3 linked regions of the Nothobranchius furzeri genome follow. The protein of the gene in region 1 purifies or fractionates together with the protein of each later gene. This does not show direct contact. Links are inferred from orthologs where the notes say so. Each region holds a gene or a part of one and is shown on either strand. Other genes may lie near its edges.

Region 1 (4,663 bases):
CTTCATCAGCTCAATCAGGGTCGGCATGGCCTGATTGGAGAGGAGAGCATGATCAGAATTCACTCACAAAAACTGAAGGTATATGTCGGGGGTCGGCAACCCGCGGCTCCTCCATCCATCTGATGCGGCTCTCTGTGCTTGTAAAATAATGAATGGATATTTAAATGAAAAGCTTTATATTTTACTGCATACATTTTACATCTGTATGCCAATTCTAAATGTAAAGATTGTCTGCGTAAACCTGAACAGGTCCAACCCGGTCTTACTGTGAGACCGGGTTGACGCGTCATGCTTGTGCGTAATCATATCGGCGCTTCCTGAGCTGAAGAGGATGTGAGATTCTGGGATTCTCCTCAGACGGCTCCTGGATGTGTCGCCACATTGGACACAGGAACAAGCGCTATTCAGCCAAAGTTTCATAATCAGGGAACATTTTCTAAGTGACAAGTCTCGCTTCAGTGGGAGGAACCTTCCCGCATGCGCTCTGGTTCTGCGACGTGCTCCAAGCCCCTCTCCACATCTTCAGCTCGCTGTGGACCTTATGTAGTACATGCTGACAGTGAGCTGCGCTGAGCGGTGTCCAGCTCAGATGTTCAGATGGGAATCGTTTCTTGAGTGATTTAGCTACATCTGCGATGTGCGTAGAATAAAATGTCAGTTCGTCTGCATGCGTCGGGGTAATTCTTTCTATTCTTTCTCCGTCAAAATAAACGGTCAAATACGGGAACTGTCTGGCCAACACAAGCCCTGATTTTAACGGTTTTCTTGTGAAAATTGTTACAAATTAAACTTGATCAACACCAGGCACACTGCGCCGTTATCTCTGCCACTGTAAATGAGGGAAAAACAAAATGATCGGATCCTTTTCTGACCTTCCCCACCTACAAAGCTTAATTACAACAATCAAACGTGACAGAGCCTGGATTTGTATTCTGAACAGTCTAAACATGTTTTAAAAAGAAACGTACGACAAAAGTGGCACCTGCTCAGTAAAACCACCAACAGGGTGAAAAATATCTAAATATTGTAGGCAGAGACGGGCTACAACTTCTGGATCCACTTTATATAAATTGTTTTATTGATTATCTTATGAAAGATAACTTTGACGTACACTAGCGACCGGTACCGGCTGCCGTCACCTGTTGTGAGCAGCTCTCTGCTGTCTGAGGGTAGGCCCCGCCCACAACGCCGCGGCTGCTGTGGCTCCCAGTGTTTTCTTTACTGTGGGAAACGGGTAATAATGGTTCTTTGATGGGAACAGGTTGCCAACCCCTGGTCTAGAGCTTTAGGTCTGCACCTGAATGACGAGGGGCTTGAGCTGGTTCAGGTCGGGTCCCTCCAGGATTGAGCCAAAGGCCATGACGGAGGCGTCACGGTAGCGCCAGTCGGGGTGTTTGATGTTCTCTTTGATGAAGGGCAGAACGTGAGGAACCACGTCGTCCTCGCAGCAGGTGGCCAGCAGCATCAGACACACACCTGCAGCCTTGCAGGGGTTCCAGTCATCGTCGTCATCGTTCTCATCCTGCAGAGTTTGAAAAAATTTAATTTCTCATAAACCACAGTGAAGTCACAAAACTAGCAGGAGCACACAGAGAAGTGAAAGGTCAGCACCTGCTTGGTCAAGGTCTGAGTCAGGATGGGGACCAGGTACTGAAGTGCCCCTTTAGCATAGAATTTACTAGTGTGCTCGGGGGGGCGCCCCTGCTCCGAGGCCTGATGGGCAAGAGGAGAAACGAGCAGTCAGTGAACGCAGCGCTACACATCTGAAACGAGTCCTCAAACTGGAAACAGACCTCTGAGGCCTCAATGGCCAGGTCCATCTCCTCGTCACAGACGTTGGACCAGAACTCAATACCCTGCAGAGCCACCTCATCAATGTCGCTCTTCATCGCCTCAATAGTGATCTGAAACAAAATTTAAAAAACATGTTGGAAAACAACCGAAATTAGAGATTCAGCTCTACTGAACTTTGTGCAGCAGCAGATCATTAAACTGGAAATGTCCAGGCTTATGACCCTGCCCTGTTCCTGGCGAGGAATTATCCCTGTTTACACCTATTGTCTTCTGAATAAATAAACGATGAACCAGAACATCACCCAAGTGGAACGCTGTTGCTCACCAAGACTGATGAAAATCAGGACAGGACTTTAAACTCTTTGGCCCAAAGAAACGACCTCAGATTCATAACTTTTGCCTTAAACTACACTCAAGTGTTCTTCTGTCCCAACTAATCAAAGCAAAACCACAAGTTTTGTTCTATAGAACCAAATATTGAGTGAGTTTATTACCGCAAACAGAGCAGGCCCCATGTATGTCTCCATGTACTGATAATACAGAGACATAATCTTCACCAGGTTCTGCAGAGCTGCCACGCGGACCTGCATGCATCATAGACGACAGGACGGATCAGGATAAGACCTATAAACACGATCCAGCTCACAGCAAGAGATTCAGTTCTCATGGTACTCACTCTGGTGTCAGGACACTGGGTGGCTTCACAAACCACCTGCATGATGAAGTGCCTCTCCGTCTGAAAACACAAACATCATCATTTATTCACAAATGCAGATCAGAACTACATCCCTGACTAGGGAACTCCAACTATTACATCAGACCCTCACCTCCTTGTCAAAGTTGGCTTTGGTGAACTCCAGTGAGTTGAGCAGGGCATTGGTAGCAGCTAGCTTCACATTGTTACTGGGTTCCTCCTTCCTCATGCCCTGGATGATGGCCGTCAGGATCTGGTTGGCATTTTCCTGCAGCTGCTCAGGGTCCTAAAAGGAACAAAATATGTCAGGAGTACTCCACAGACAACAGCGTCAGGCATAGGCTGCAACAGTCACAAACCAGAACTGGAATCTGGTCTGGAGTCTGCATGTTACAGCTCCGGTGCGTCTGACTGTAAGCGGTTAGAATCAGAACCAGAAGGGTTTTATTGTCATTTGTGCGAGAATCACAACATTAGGAAATTGCTGCAGTACTTGGTGCAAGAAAAGACAAATGATAAGCAAAAAATTCAAAATAACCTTTTGGGTGCCAGTTTTTTCAAGAAAATATTAAATTTTGACAGGACCTTTTCAGGGGGTTGTAGCTTGAAAATGGTAAGAGATAAAGGTAAACTGTCAATGAGAAATCTTCAGTAGGACCCAAAGTTTGTACAGAGAGCAAATGCACTCATCCAATTTGCTTATTAGGATGTCATCGGGTTGCCGTATTGGCATTTGGGAGTCAACAATTATAAATTTTGGTGGCATGATTGTAGTCAAAGAAATAATCAGTTTCATGATTACACGATTATTTTACACGAACTGATTTCACGTCTGTATTTACATAAATCACACACACATCTTATACATTATTGATAAAGGCATGATTACATTCTATAAATGTTCTGAACACTTGAAAAATATTTTGTTCCTTTTCAGAGATTTTGTTTAGAAAAGTTTACCCTGCAATTGATTTGCAATGTTGTTCCATCTCCACAAATAACACAAGCCTGGAGGAGTTCTGCTGTGTAGTGGAGTTGGTAATGCTAACAGTTAGCTTCTACTAGTTGAGACATTCTCTCCAGTTTCCTGGATGCTAAAACAGCCTTCCACGTCATGAGTCAAGATGGGCGAGTCCATGAATGTTAGGCGACAGTGTGATGTAGATCTGATTTTAACAGTTTCACTGTCTATTTTCTATCAATAGATAATGCAGAAGATAGGTGTAGGAGACTATTTTCATGTTCAGCCTGCATGAAAAACTCAGTGACTGATTATGATCAGAAATAATCATTAAAAAGGTTTTTTCAGTGTTTCACACATTTAGTAATATTTGCCTAATAGCCTTTTTTGAGTTTCTGTAAAAACACAAAAAGGTTTAACTGTTGACAACTGGTCAGGACATCATCATGAATTAAGATGCTAAATTCCTACTAGTGCAGTTATTATGAATATTAATTATTACTTAAACATAATTTGTACCTCTTCATTATCTTTTTAAATTTCATCAGTAAGAATATTATTTGGATAAATTATAGAGCAGGAATTACAGATGTAACGGAATGAAATGACTGTTTTCCACCAAGTCATTCCCCCTCTCCTCTGACACAGAACTAGTCTGCATGATATATGGCCTCAAGGTCTCATGCATTTGCTATAAACTGCTTCCTTTCCAGCCCAAGAGCTTCTTGGACTCTCTTTAATATATCAAAGAACTCTATTTTTAATAAGCTAATCAGTGTTCGTCAATAAGATGTGACCAATCCGTGAAATCAAAATATTAATTACTTTATTATAATCCTATAGAATATAATAAGTAATATGACTTTAAATGTTTCCACTAGGACTGATCTCACGTAGCGTTAAGACATAACACTGCTTTTACTGATCCAATCAGATTCTGACAGACCTGACGGAGGCGTGGGTTTGGTGGTGCTTGGTAAATCTGTCATCTTTTCATTCGACCATAAACCAAAACATCCGAAGTATAAAACTATGCCCATGTCATCTTTAACGCCAGTTCAAAGCATTCGAGAGAACACTTGAAGACGGAGTGGCCAATCCGTAACTTTCCTCTTCAGCTGAAAGAAGCGACAAGCTGGAAAACCTGTTGCTGTTCCACCTGCTGCAACGGTTCCTTTCAGAATAAATGCTGAACTCACTGACCTTCTGGGTCC
Region 2 (5,334 bases), on another chromosome or scaffold:
AGTGAAAAAGTCGCACAGTGTCCGCCCAGCTTATTATAAGGTTCACTGTAATGCATTGTTCTTAACAAATAAATTAAATCAAAAATATTGGTCAATAATGCCAAATATGTAAATTTGTGTTTCAGTCATTTTTATACTGGCTTAAAAATACTCCATTAAGTCTACTAAGCAGGGGTGTAGAACGTTTTTATTAGGGCCAGCCCAGTAATGATCTTGGACCAAAATAAAGGGGGCAGAAAGTCAAATAAAGGGGGCAAAAGAAGATGTTTTTCCAGACGCCAAGAAAAATTAAATGCCAAATCCACCCTGCAAAGTGTGTCACTGAGAGTTTAAAACTGAAATTATTATTGTGCAAATACTGGTGTATTCACCTTTAATACTAGTTATTACAATGTAGCAGTTGCTGGATTGGTGCAGTTCAAAGTGGAGTGCATCAAATAAAACAATATTAACATAAAGGTGAGACGTGTCATAACCCCCCACCCCCACCCCCCACCCCCGCCAACACCACCACAGCTGGAAAAATTCCTAGGGGAAACACTGCTACCACTGACTCAAGTTTGCTCTGCAGCATTGATATTTATTCCCAACAATTAACTCAAGCCTGAAGGAGTTCTGCTTTGTTGTGGAGTTGCTAATGCTAACACTTAGCTTCTACTAGTTGAGATGTTCTCTGCTGTTTCCTGGACACTAAATCAACAACAGCCTTCCCCATTGCAAGTCAAGATGGGTGAATCCATGAATGGTAAGCGACAGTGTGACGTAGAGCTGTCAGGCTTTTCAAATCCTAGAGCAGGGGTATTCAATTCCGGGCCTGGAGGGCCGATATCCGGCAGGTTTAACCCCGTTCCAACACACCCGATTTCAATCAGCATATAATTAACAGGTATTTGCAGAGCCTGATGAGCTTCAGCACATGTGATTCAACCATTGAATTAAGTATATTGGAGCAGTGAAACAACTAAAACGTGTTAGATGCCAGCCCCCCAGGCCCGGAATTGAATACCCCTGTCCTAGACTTTCACTATTTTCTAGACTTTCACTATTTCTATCAGAAGCTAATGAAGGAGATATATAAAAAATAGGACACTATTTTCACGTTCAGTCTGCATGTTAAACTCTGAGTGACTGATTTAAAAAAATAAGTAAAAATTGTTTCTTAGTGAAGGACCTCTTTAAGTTTACAGTTTGGTTGTGCAACGTGGGGTCAGTGTTGAAGTTCTAATTCTACCAAAGGAGAAATAATTCAAACATCATCTCTGAGATGCTATCTAACTTGTCTTAAGTGCTTGAAAGCTGATTTTCTCAAACTTCTTAAACTATGTAGAGTATAGGGCTGTCGCGGTTGAGGAATTCCCCCTGCGGTGATTCAGGGTGGCTTAATATTGCGGTGTGCGATATTATTGCAGCCCTTTTTTTATTGCAGTACTATCTAAACATAATGTTTACACATTTAAAAAAGGTTAAAAATTGCCGTGCCTTCTTCAATAACGCTTTACTGAATGCAGATCAAAGGGCAGTAACAACACAGATCGCAGTAACGTTTGTTTCTCCGACAGTCGGAGTCCAACTGAACTTAAAAACAACAAAATTCAGGAGGTTAAACTTTTAAATGCAAATTTGGCTGCAGCATCTAACAAATAAGAAACAAGTCCCCATTTTGTTTAGTTGTTTAAAATCAAGCATAAAAAATTACATGTACCGGGCGCGCGCGCGCCGGGGGGCGGGCGCACTATCATTTCACTTTCACACACACGAATGACGGTGATTTATAGCTCGGTCACGTCCTTGTTACCTACAAGGAAAACCAAGCATGTTAACCATATACGGTTTGAGAGAGGATCTGAGAGGGGTGGCAACATTTCCAGCAACACTGAAAACCCTCTCGGATGGTGCGTTCGTTGCACTAACGCACACGTACTTGCGTGCGACTCTGCCGAGCAAAGGGAATGTCTCCCGGTTGTTGCTCCACCATGTCAGGGGGGTTTCTTTAGGGTGGATGCATTCCTCCTGCAGGTAGCGAGTGAGCTCCAGCTCGGCTCAAACTCTCTTCAGGACGGTTGCAGAAGCAGTGCTTGTCCGGGACTTCAGCAGGTCTCCGAGCGTTTATTATTATTTTTTTGCCGCTGGTGGCAGCTCTGTCTCGGCCAAGGACTCTGGCTGTGCAGCAGCTGACGTACTGAAAACCAAAGTGCTCCCAAAGGAGCGAAGTAACGTTTCGTTTTGATACCAGTGCAGCCATCCTTCTCAACATGCATCATTGAGTTGAACCAAGTTCAGTAATCGCGGTGGTCCATGATGCAGCGCGGTGGGCTTCTTCATATTGCGATATTTCATTTTTGCGGTTACCGCGACAGCCCTAGTAGAGTATAAAAACAGTCCGCTTGAAATTTGAAAATGTTTAGATATCTTCAAATGACTAGCAGTGAAAAAGCTGTAAAAATGCTGACGTGTCACATTACAATTAAGTAGATATTGCACACAAAATTACACACATTATCAAATCTTTTAGCAATGTTATGACTGCCATAACAATGGCGATTAGGTGCAATTTCCTACATTTTAATAAAAAAATGTAAAATTGCATTAAGTACATTTGGGTACTTTACATTTGATCTATGTTCTTAGTTGTATATCAGTGCTAATATATTGGCAATGAGGTTTGTTACTGCATTAAATTTGCTAAAGTGGCTTTTTAGAGTATTTTGTACTTCTGTCCATTTGTATAAAATCTAAAGTTGAATGAAAATGGAGTTAACAAAAAATAATAATCTTGGGTGTCATTCATAGTGCACCTAAAATACATTCAAGTACAGTTTACATGTTTGCTCCTACCTGTGAGATTCACTAAAGAGTATAAATCTCTAAAAACAAACCTTAAACTGTTTCAATATTATATGATATAAGGTGCTCCCTATGCTTTTGGAAGCACTGATTAAAGTATTTGCATACAAATAGACAACAACAAGCGTTTAAAGCAACTTATATACTATTTCTTTAATGTATTTATTCTTAATTATAAAATAGCCTAAAATAAATTGTAATAGTCGTGCAACGTAACCGTAATATCAAACGATGTCATTTGTTGTCATAAAAGACCTGAATGACATCTCTGTTACCGTTAGCATAACATTGCGGTGCTAACATACGTAGACTGAAACGAATATAAAATAATTTCTTTTGACGGACTTGAGAGAAAATTGTAATCAGTTCTCCGTTTTCATCACTCGGCATTTTATCAATGTGCATGGTCTAAGTCAGTAAAAAACAAGGGGTTATAGTAATCTAAACCAAAATAACTTTACAATCAGTTAGCTAGCTGCTTATAAGCTACTAAGCTAACCAACGCCGTAGCTTTCCACATGCTAGCCGCGTAAATACCTTCATCTCCCTCTCAGGAGGGGAGTCTGTATCGTCACTCATTTCGAACAGAAACTTCTGATTCTCCGGATGAGGTTTTGCTTTAATTTATTCCTTCAAAGCGTAGATGTAAGTCAAAGTTCGAGCGAGCTACATCAACTGAACTCGCCGCGCCGTTTTGTGTGTGAAAATAAAATAGGATGACTAGTGGATGCTAGAGTGTCCTTTTGCAGTTAATAAATAAATAAGGATGACGAGTAGATGCCAGAGCTAACTGAGATGGCCCACCAGTCTCTTGGATCCGAATAAAAACAAAACGTGTTTAGAGCTGATTTTTGCATCTTGTTTCTGATCATATTTGCCGGGAAAATGTCTTGTCTGTTTACAAATAGTATGTCAGGATGTTAATATATATTGTTTTCATATCATAAATGTACAAATTAGCATAGTTTCTTATTCATAAATCCAAGTTCTATAATCATAATTTATTCCTGTTTATTTCCCATAGAAGAGTACAAGTGTCATAAAAACCTTAAAAATGTGATATATGAATTTAAACGTTTACATTTTTTGTGCTGGCATTGCTCTAAGCCCCTTTGATTGTTGCATTTATGGTACTGACTCAAGAAGCATTTAGCTTTTTATTTATTTTTCTGCTATTACTCTTTGCCTTAGCCAACCTAATGTATGACGTATGGTTCTTAATGAAGTAAAACGTTTTAAATATTTTAAACATGGATAGTTATGATGCAATAAAAGTGACATACTAAAAAAAATGCTAAACAACATTTAAATCAGACTATTCACATTCTTAAAGTTGTATTTTTATATCCAAGTTTTTATTTTCCAACTGGTCTCCCTGACTTTAATGAAAATAGTTGAGAATACTTAAAAATCTTTTATAACTAACTTTTGACATGAAATCTACTCAGGGGAACAAAAACAATTAGGTAAAAACTTTTTAAATGTCTAATAAAGTTATACTGACTTTTGTTAACATACACTTGCAGGAAAGTTTGTACTTGTGTATAAGCACTTTACAAGTTGCAGAAACTTTTATTTCTCCTATGCATGATTCTTTTTTGAATCAGTACCCCTTTGGGAACCCCAAGAAATGAAGACAAAAGGAATAGCCACCCACTACAGTATAGGTGAAGTAAGGACTTTTATTAGAAAGCTGAATTTTCTGTTTTGCATTTAAACAAATCAGGTACTCCTCTGCGACTACATAACTTAAAACTGATAATGGCAGAGATGATGGTAGGAATGAAAGATAAGATTCTTATGTAACATCAAAAGTGGCATCTTGCATTTCCATTATATAGTATTCATGCTTGAGCCAGAAGGCGCATGAACATTTTAACATTTTATTCTTTTAGAAAGCAGAAACAACATCCAGGATTTCCGGGGCCAGGCCCTGCTGATTGTGAAGAACAATACAGTGATCGGAGTTTACAGTTGCATGATCGGATCCTTTTGTCAGCTTGTGCACTGACGTCCATTATCAAGTTAGGTAGGAGTTCAGACTTCAGGCCAAGACTGGCCCACTCTTGCATGACAGATGTGGCCCGTGTCAACATGGGGTGACTGTTCATGAAGCACCAAGATTTTAGTCCGTTCTTGTTGCAGTAACACACATTCATTATATCCACGTCCTTCTGTTCTGGGGAAAGCAAGCTAGCATAGATCGAAGCAAGCTAGAGAAGGACAAAGCAAAAAAAGCAAGAGCACAGCAAGTCATGTCACAACTCCAATAGTGCACCGCGGGCCTCATCCCTTTTCTGATTGTCAGCGCTCTGAACACATGGCTTTAAAAATTGCATTTACTCCTCTTTTGCCCGTATCCTTGGACACTCTTGACTTATTTTTTACACTTTTCTTTCAATTTCCAAGTAAAGTGCTGGCTTTATGTTCAATTTCACACATACACATATAAACCTTTAGTGCATTTTTTTCTGAGTCTGCAAAATATTT
Region 3 (5,248 bases), on another chromosome or scaffold:
CCAACAGCATCCTCTGTGGCTGGACAAGGTATCATAAAATCACAACAAAATACCAAAGACAAGAAAATAACGGACACACACGAGAACTGTACTTCATGTACCATGACCTGCAGCTGGCATATTGAATATAATTGTCTTTCTGAGATTTATTTAGACTTTGGCTTATATTTTCAGATTAATACCATCGGGTTCACCCTGGGAGACAAAGCAGACGGCCCTTTTCAGCTTGAGATTGATTTTATTGGCGTCTGCAAAGATTACGCTCACACAGAGGACTTCGCTTACGAGATGTACAAGAGGAACCCAACAGCTTAGGGGCCACCACAACGCAGCGTTTAAACCGTTAAGCAGCCAATTAAATACAGATGTGTGGAAATTCCTCGTCTTCACTTTTTTTTTTTTTTGCATTTCTGGTCAATTTTAAAACACAAATCGGTTAAGGGGATCAAACGGTTGTTGCTGTTGATCTTTTACAAGTTAAACAGACACTCTTGCTGCTTCTTAATTTTCCCGTTTAGTTTAAATGACTTCTCTCAGTAAAACAGCAAAGTGATTTCCATGTGAGAGTTTTTTGTTGTTTTATTGTAAAAGCAATAATAAAAGCATTCAAGAGACATTTTATTAAAGCACAACAAATCTTTTAGGTCACCATTTTAATCCAAATATTCATCTCAAAATGGAAAACAATAAGTAAAAGTTTTTACTACAAAAGGATAAAAATGATTATTATAAACAAACAAATCTACAAGCTGAGTAAAGCAGACTGAATCCATGTTCTTACAACTGGCTCAGGAGAGCACGGATGTCTAAATTATTTACATGAGAACAGGAAGCTTGAGAAAAATGCAAAAGCGTTTCTATTCCATGACCAGGCCTCTCCTCGCTCCGAGCAGTTTTGTTTTCTTCTGCTTCCGGTCCTCTGCTAGTATTGCCCTCCGGTCGTCCCTGTAAACACGACACGGATCAGCCTCAGGAGGCGCTTTACAGGCAGATTGTTGTGATGAGAATTTCTCTCAGGCTCACCTGGACTGCACCTTGTGTTGTTTGTAACTTTCCTGACGCGAATTGGAGATCAGAGATTTGTTTGCAGATGCATTTTCTTTAGCATCTCCAAATGGCTTCAGTTTGCCTGCAAAAAAGGAAGGAAGCATCAGTGTCTCAGAACAACACAACTTACGGTCTTTGAGGACAGTTCCGCACCTTTGTGGGGTTTGTAGTTGAGCGGACGCGACAGACTGGCCTTCAGATCAAAGGTCGGCTTCTTTTGTGTTCCGGGTGTGGTTGAGACGTCACCAGTAAAAACAAACAGTTCTTTAATGGAGACAAACCAGATTGGTTAGATTTATTTTGCATGTTCGCACTAGAGGCTGACAGATATATAAAATTTTTTCTATATCGGCCGAAATTATTTTTAAAAGCCAATAAAAACATTTTTTAAAATCAGGCACCTGTGTGGCCTACCGCCGCTACTACTAGACTGAAGAGAGAACCCGAACGACCCCCAACACACTGCTTTAAAAAAAATAAAAATGTTTTGAGTTTGTTTAATATTTGAAGTTCAATAAATATTAAGAGATTTATTGACTTATTTAATTTATATTGCACACAGTGAGCGTTAGGTTGTCTTTCACAAGCAATATGCTGCCAAATCACATATATAAACCTTAATAATCGGTTTTAGATATCAGCCATCGGCATCAAAATTCTTTGTAAATCTATCGGCCTAAAAAAAAAAACATGTCGGTAAGGCCTCTAGTTAACACATCAAATTTAAATTATCCCAAATGGTGGCGATGAGTACCTGAAGTTTTTTGGGGAGACAAAGTAGACGTAATGACAACATGTGGCTTCTTTGCTTTGGTGGTCTGGCTTTGAGGGGTGCTGGAAGGTCTCTGGAGCGACATGCGTGCCGGGGTCTTCACCAAAGACCTCTTAAACTCGTTGTCACATGTAGCTTCTGAGAATCTGAACAAGTTGGTAGAGCGTCACATGAAACACACTTATCTGTGTTTGCTATAACAATGACTGTAGCAATGATCGACAGAAGACGCACCGAACATTGATCCTACGCGTAGAAATAACAGACGGTCTGAATGGAAGGTCGTCTTTCCCAGCACGTTTGTTTTGAAGAGCTTTACTGACTGGCAGCAAAGTGTGTCTGGGCTTTTCTGCAGCTGGTCTCTTATTGAGCTGGGCTGGGCTGAACATGGAGGCACGAGTCGTGTTCTGTCAAACACAAACCCACACATAAGCTCTGAAACGTGTCCAGCTTTGACTTCAGATTAGGATGGAAAACAATGTAGAAAGACCAACTTAAACATTTGTTCTGATGTTAGGAAGACTTAATACCTTCAGATCTTTGGCTGAAGATCTGGTGGTCTCCATCTGCTTTGTTTTGCGCTGAACATAGGTGTCAATGGACTCCATTTTGTTGAACTGCGCCTCATGGATTTTCTTAAAATCTAATTTAGAGATAAAATTGACAAACAGTAAAACAAATTCAAGGATTAAATATGCTGACCGTGTTTACGCAAGTCTGGAGAAAGGAAATAAAGCAAACTCACTAGGTGTGGTGGGCTTCAACAGAGTCTTGTTCATCTGCTGGGAGCCTCTGTAGCGGGGAATTTTGCCAGGTTTCACCACTTTTGGTACTTTTCCTGAACAAATATGATTTTATGAGTCAAACTGCTTCTCAAAGCAAAAATAAATCTAGTCGCAGGTTTGAAGAAGCTCTCAAACCTGTTGATTGAGCCGTTTTCTCCTCTTTAGTATCAGGGTGCTGCTGGTCAGTCTCAGTAGTTTGAGGTTCTCCATGACAGGACAGCTTTCTTTTCTTGCTACCCTGTGAAGTGGGGGTGCTGCAGACACTTGGCTTGTCACCACCCTGAAAAGACAAACAGTCTTACACCTGGTAGGGTTACAGACGGTTACGTGCTGTTAAACACAACCAGTGGCCTTTTTAATGACGTCAGACCTCTGCAGCACTGGGAGTCTTAGCACCACACACACTGGAAGTGTCAGAAAGCCTTCTCTTGGAGCGGTTTCCTTTACCCCGACGTGTGTTTACAAAGACAGGGACAGCGCTGTCTTCTGCTACACTTTTGTGTTCAGGGACACCAACACTGCATCGACCCTGGGGCAGAAACACAACGATACGCAGACATTCAATTTACATTAAAACAATACTTTTAAAATAATACTGCAGCAGCAGTTACCTACCTGCACGTCTGCGTTCTTCTCTTCGTGGTAATGCTCTTTTATAGCTTTCAGGAGTTTATCAGCCTGCGTATGAGTAAATAAAACGTGATTGATTTAGCCGATGTTAGCTAACAGTCCTCTACCGTTACGCTAAAGACACGTAAAAGTAACTTCCTTACCTTCCCGTTTGCTTTCAGCCCAAGCTCCTTCGCAAGACTTCGCAAATCCGCATATTTCATGGAGTCCAAATCCATGTTACTACGGTGGTTTACTATGCTTTATAAAATCACGATGTCTCCGTTTTCTTTCTTCTTCTGCTTCTCATTCGCGCCCCGACGGTTAAAACTCCTTCCTATTCAAAACAAGACCGTGAGAGCGATTTGATTGGCTCTTATTTTTAACCAGATGTGCCCCATAGCCAATCAAAACCAAGATGGTCAAACGCCTCTACTTAAATCTATCCTTTTTTTTTGTTAAACTGGTGATTAATAGTTATTATTTTAGCATATTGTTAAAAGTTTAAAATTACAGCTTTGTTGTGTTAATGTTTCTCATTTTCTTGCGTATATGTGTCTTGGTGTTGTGTCTAAACCCACACCGCGGTGGCAGTAATGTGCCAAGCTAACTTCAGCGCGCGGAAATTAGAAGAACAAAACTTAAAATCGTCCGTTGGTGGTTCTGGTTCTCTGGGTGACATGGAATTTGACGACAGCGTCTTAAATAAACGACTCAACAATATGGTCATTACCACGGATGCAGATGACAGACAAGCGCTGACTTTTCACTGTCAGCAGTGCAACACTGTCCTGGGAGACTCCTTTAGCGTCTGTGGAGAAGTAGAACGTCTGGACTCCATCATGTGTCTAAGTAAGGGTTACCTCATTGATGTTATTGTGGTAAACATATTATATGTACCTTAAATTTCCTCTTAAAATGTTTTTGTTTTACTTGTTGAAATAGTTTCTGGTTTGTTCTTTTATAATAGGCTTCACTACTGTTACATCCCATAATAATCAGTATTTTTGGTCCCTTCAGAAGTAACCAGTGATGTGATTGTTGGTGATGCAGAAGAGCCCGGGCATAAAGGAGAGCTGGATAACAGGTGAGTTAGCTTTAGGTGTACAGATTAATGTTCTATGGGGTGCCAAACTGTCGCAATGTAACAGCAGTACTTGGATTATGTCGACTGTCATAAAAGGGAGCAACTGAGAGTTAATTTTAAAAAGTCATGTCATTCATACATTTTTAAAAGGCTTAGTTTTCAGCTAACAAGCTAAATATTTAAAATGAGGTAAACATTTATTTTACAAATTTTTCATTTGGAAACTAAATATTTAGATCAGACATAAGTATTTATTTTCTAAGTAAATGTTTAATTTACTAAAATTATATTTAGCACCAAGCTAAGTATTTAGGTCATACTTAAATATGTATTTCTCAAAATAAATATTTAGGTCAGGTATTTTAAATAATTTACTAACTAAATATTTAGCTCCAAACTAAATATTTAATTTACTAACTAAATATTAAGCTAAAAAATAGATATTTAGGTCAGACATATACAAAAAAGGATTGGCGCCCCTGAAAAGTTAAAGAAAAAAGAAGGTGAAAGTGAATTTCACTTTTTTTTTCAGAAGTTAAAAAGTCAGAATTATGAGAATAAAGAAAACGAATGAATGATGAATGAAAAATAAACAAAATGTTTATCCTACTAAATATTTAGTTTTTAAAATAATTTAAAACAGTTAGCTTTTTAACTACATATTTAGTTGAGAAATGGGACATTTATGAAATGTATGAATGACATGGTGGAAAATATGACTTGGAAAAATCAACTCCCAGATAAAACAAACAAGTTTTAAGAAAAAAAAAGAAAGATAGATATGAAATATATACACAAATAAATCCTTACTGAATGCAGTGACCTACAAACAACAGTAGTAATGTTTTTCAAGTTACATTGGATTTATCGCACCAGTTCAAGAGTTTGTTTCTTCTATTTATTGTCCCGACAGCTGTGGGGAAGAAGCTGACCCTCAGTCAGCTGGTT

Evidence for each region.
Region 2: the proteins of kpnb1 (region 1) and nup214 purify together in Homo sapiens (affinity purification with mass spectrometry; 3 studies listed by BioGRID and IntAct, with this or other methods). This does not show direct contact. The link is inferred for Nothobranchius furzeri from reciprocal best matches to the Homo sapiens genes KPNB1 and NUP214.
Region 3: the proteins of kpnb1 (region 1) and nusap1 purify together in Homo sapiens (affinity purification with mass spectrometry; 3 studies listed by BioGRID and IntAct, counting the BioPlex papers as one, with this or other methods). This does not show direct contact. The link is inferred for Nothobranchius furzeri from reciprocal best matches to the Homo sapiens genes KPNB1 and NUSAP1.

Annotation. Positions count from the first base shown.
Region 1 is NC_091745.1:29,728,223-29,732,885, forward strand, and holds part of kpnb1 (importin subunit beta-1), read right to left. Parts: intron 2,775-4,663; coding exon 2,622-2,774; intron 2,531-2,621; coding exon 2,471-2,530; intron 2,379-2,470; coding exon 2,289-2,378; intron 1,905-2,288; coding exon 1,794-1,904; intron 1,714-1,793; coding exon 1,612-1,713; intron 1,523-1,611; coding exon 1,298-1,522; intron 31-1,297; coding exon 1-30.
Region 2 is NC_091746.1:57,168,385-57,173,718, reverse strand, and holds the start of nup214 (nuclear pore complex protein Nup214), read right to left. Parts: upstream 3,566-5,334; 5' UTR 3,424-3,565; coding exon 3,382-3,423; intron 1-3,381. UniProt on the Homo sapiens protein: Part of the nuclear pore complex. Has a critical role in nucleocytoplasmic transport.
Region 3 is NC_091758.1:19,032,299-19,037,546, forward strand, and holds nusap1 (nucleolar and spindle-associated protein 1), read right to left. Parts: upstream 3,566-5,248; 5' UTR 3,453-3,565; coding exon 3,378-3,452; intron 3,283-3,377; coding exon 3,220-3,282; intron 3,134-3,219; coding exon 2,975-3,133; intron 2,885-2,974; coding exon 2,740-2,884; intron 2,658-2,739; coding exon 2,565-2,657; intron 2,463-2,564; coding exon 2,350-2,462; intron 2,227-2,349; coding exon 2,054-2,226; intron 1,966-2,053; coding exon 1,802-1,965; intron 1,312-1,801; coding exon 1,201-1,311; intron 1,130-1,200; coding exon 1,024-1,129; intron 946-1,023; coding exon 858-945; 3' UTR 636-857; downstream 1-635. Other genes in the region: ndufaf1 (complex I intermediate-associated protein 30, mitochondrial), read left to right, coding at 1-28, 175-315; oip5 (protein Mis18-beta), read left to right, coding at 3,810-4,065, 4,234-4,300. UniProt on the Homo sapiens protein: Microtubule-associated protein with the capacity to bundle and stabilize microtubules. May associate with chromosomes and promote the organization of mitotic spindle microtubules around them.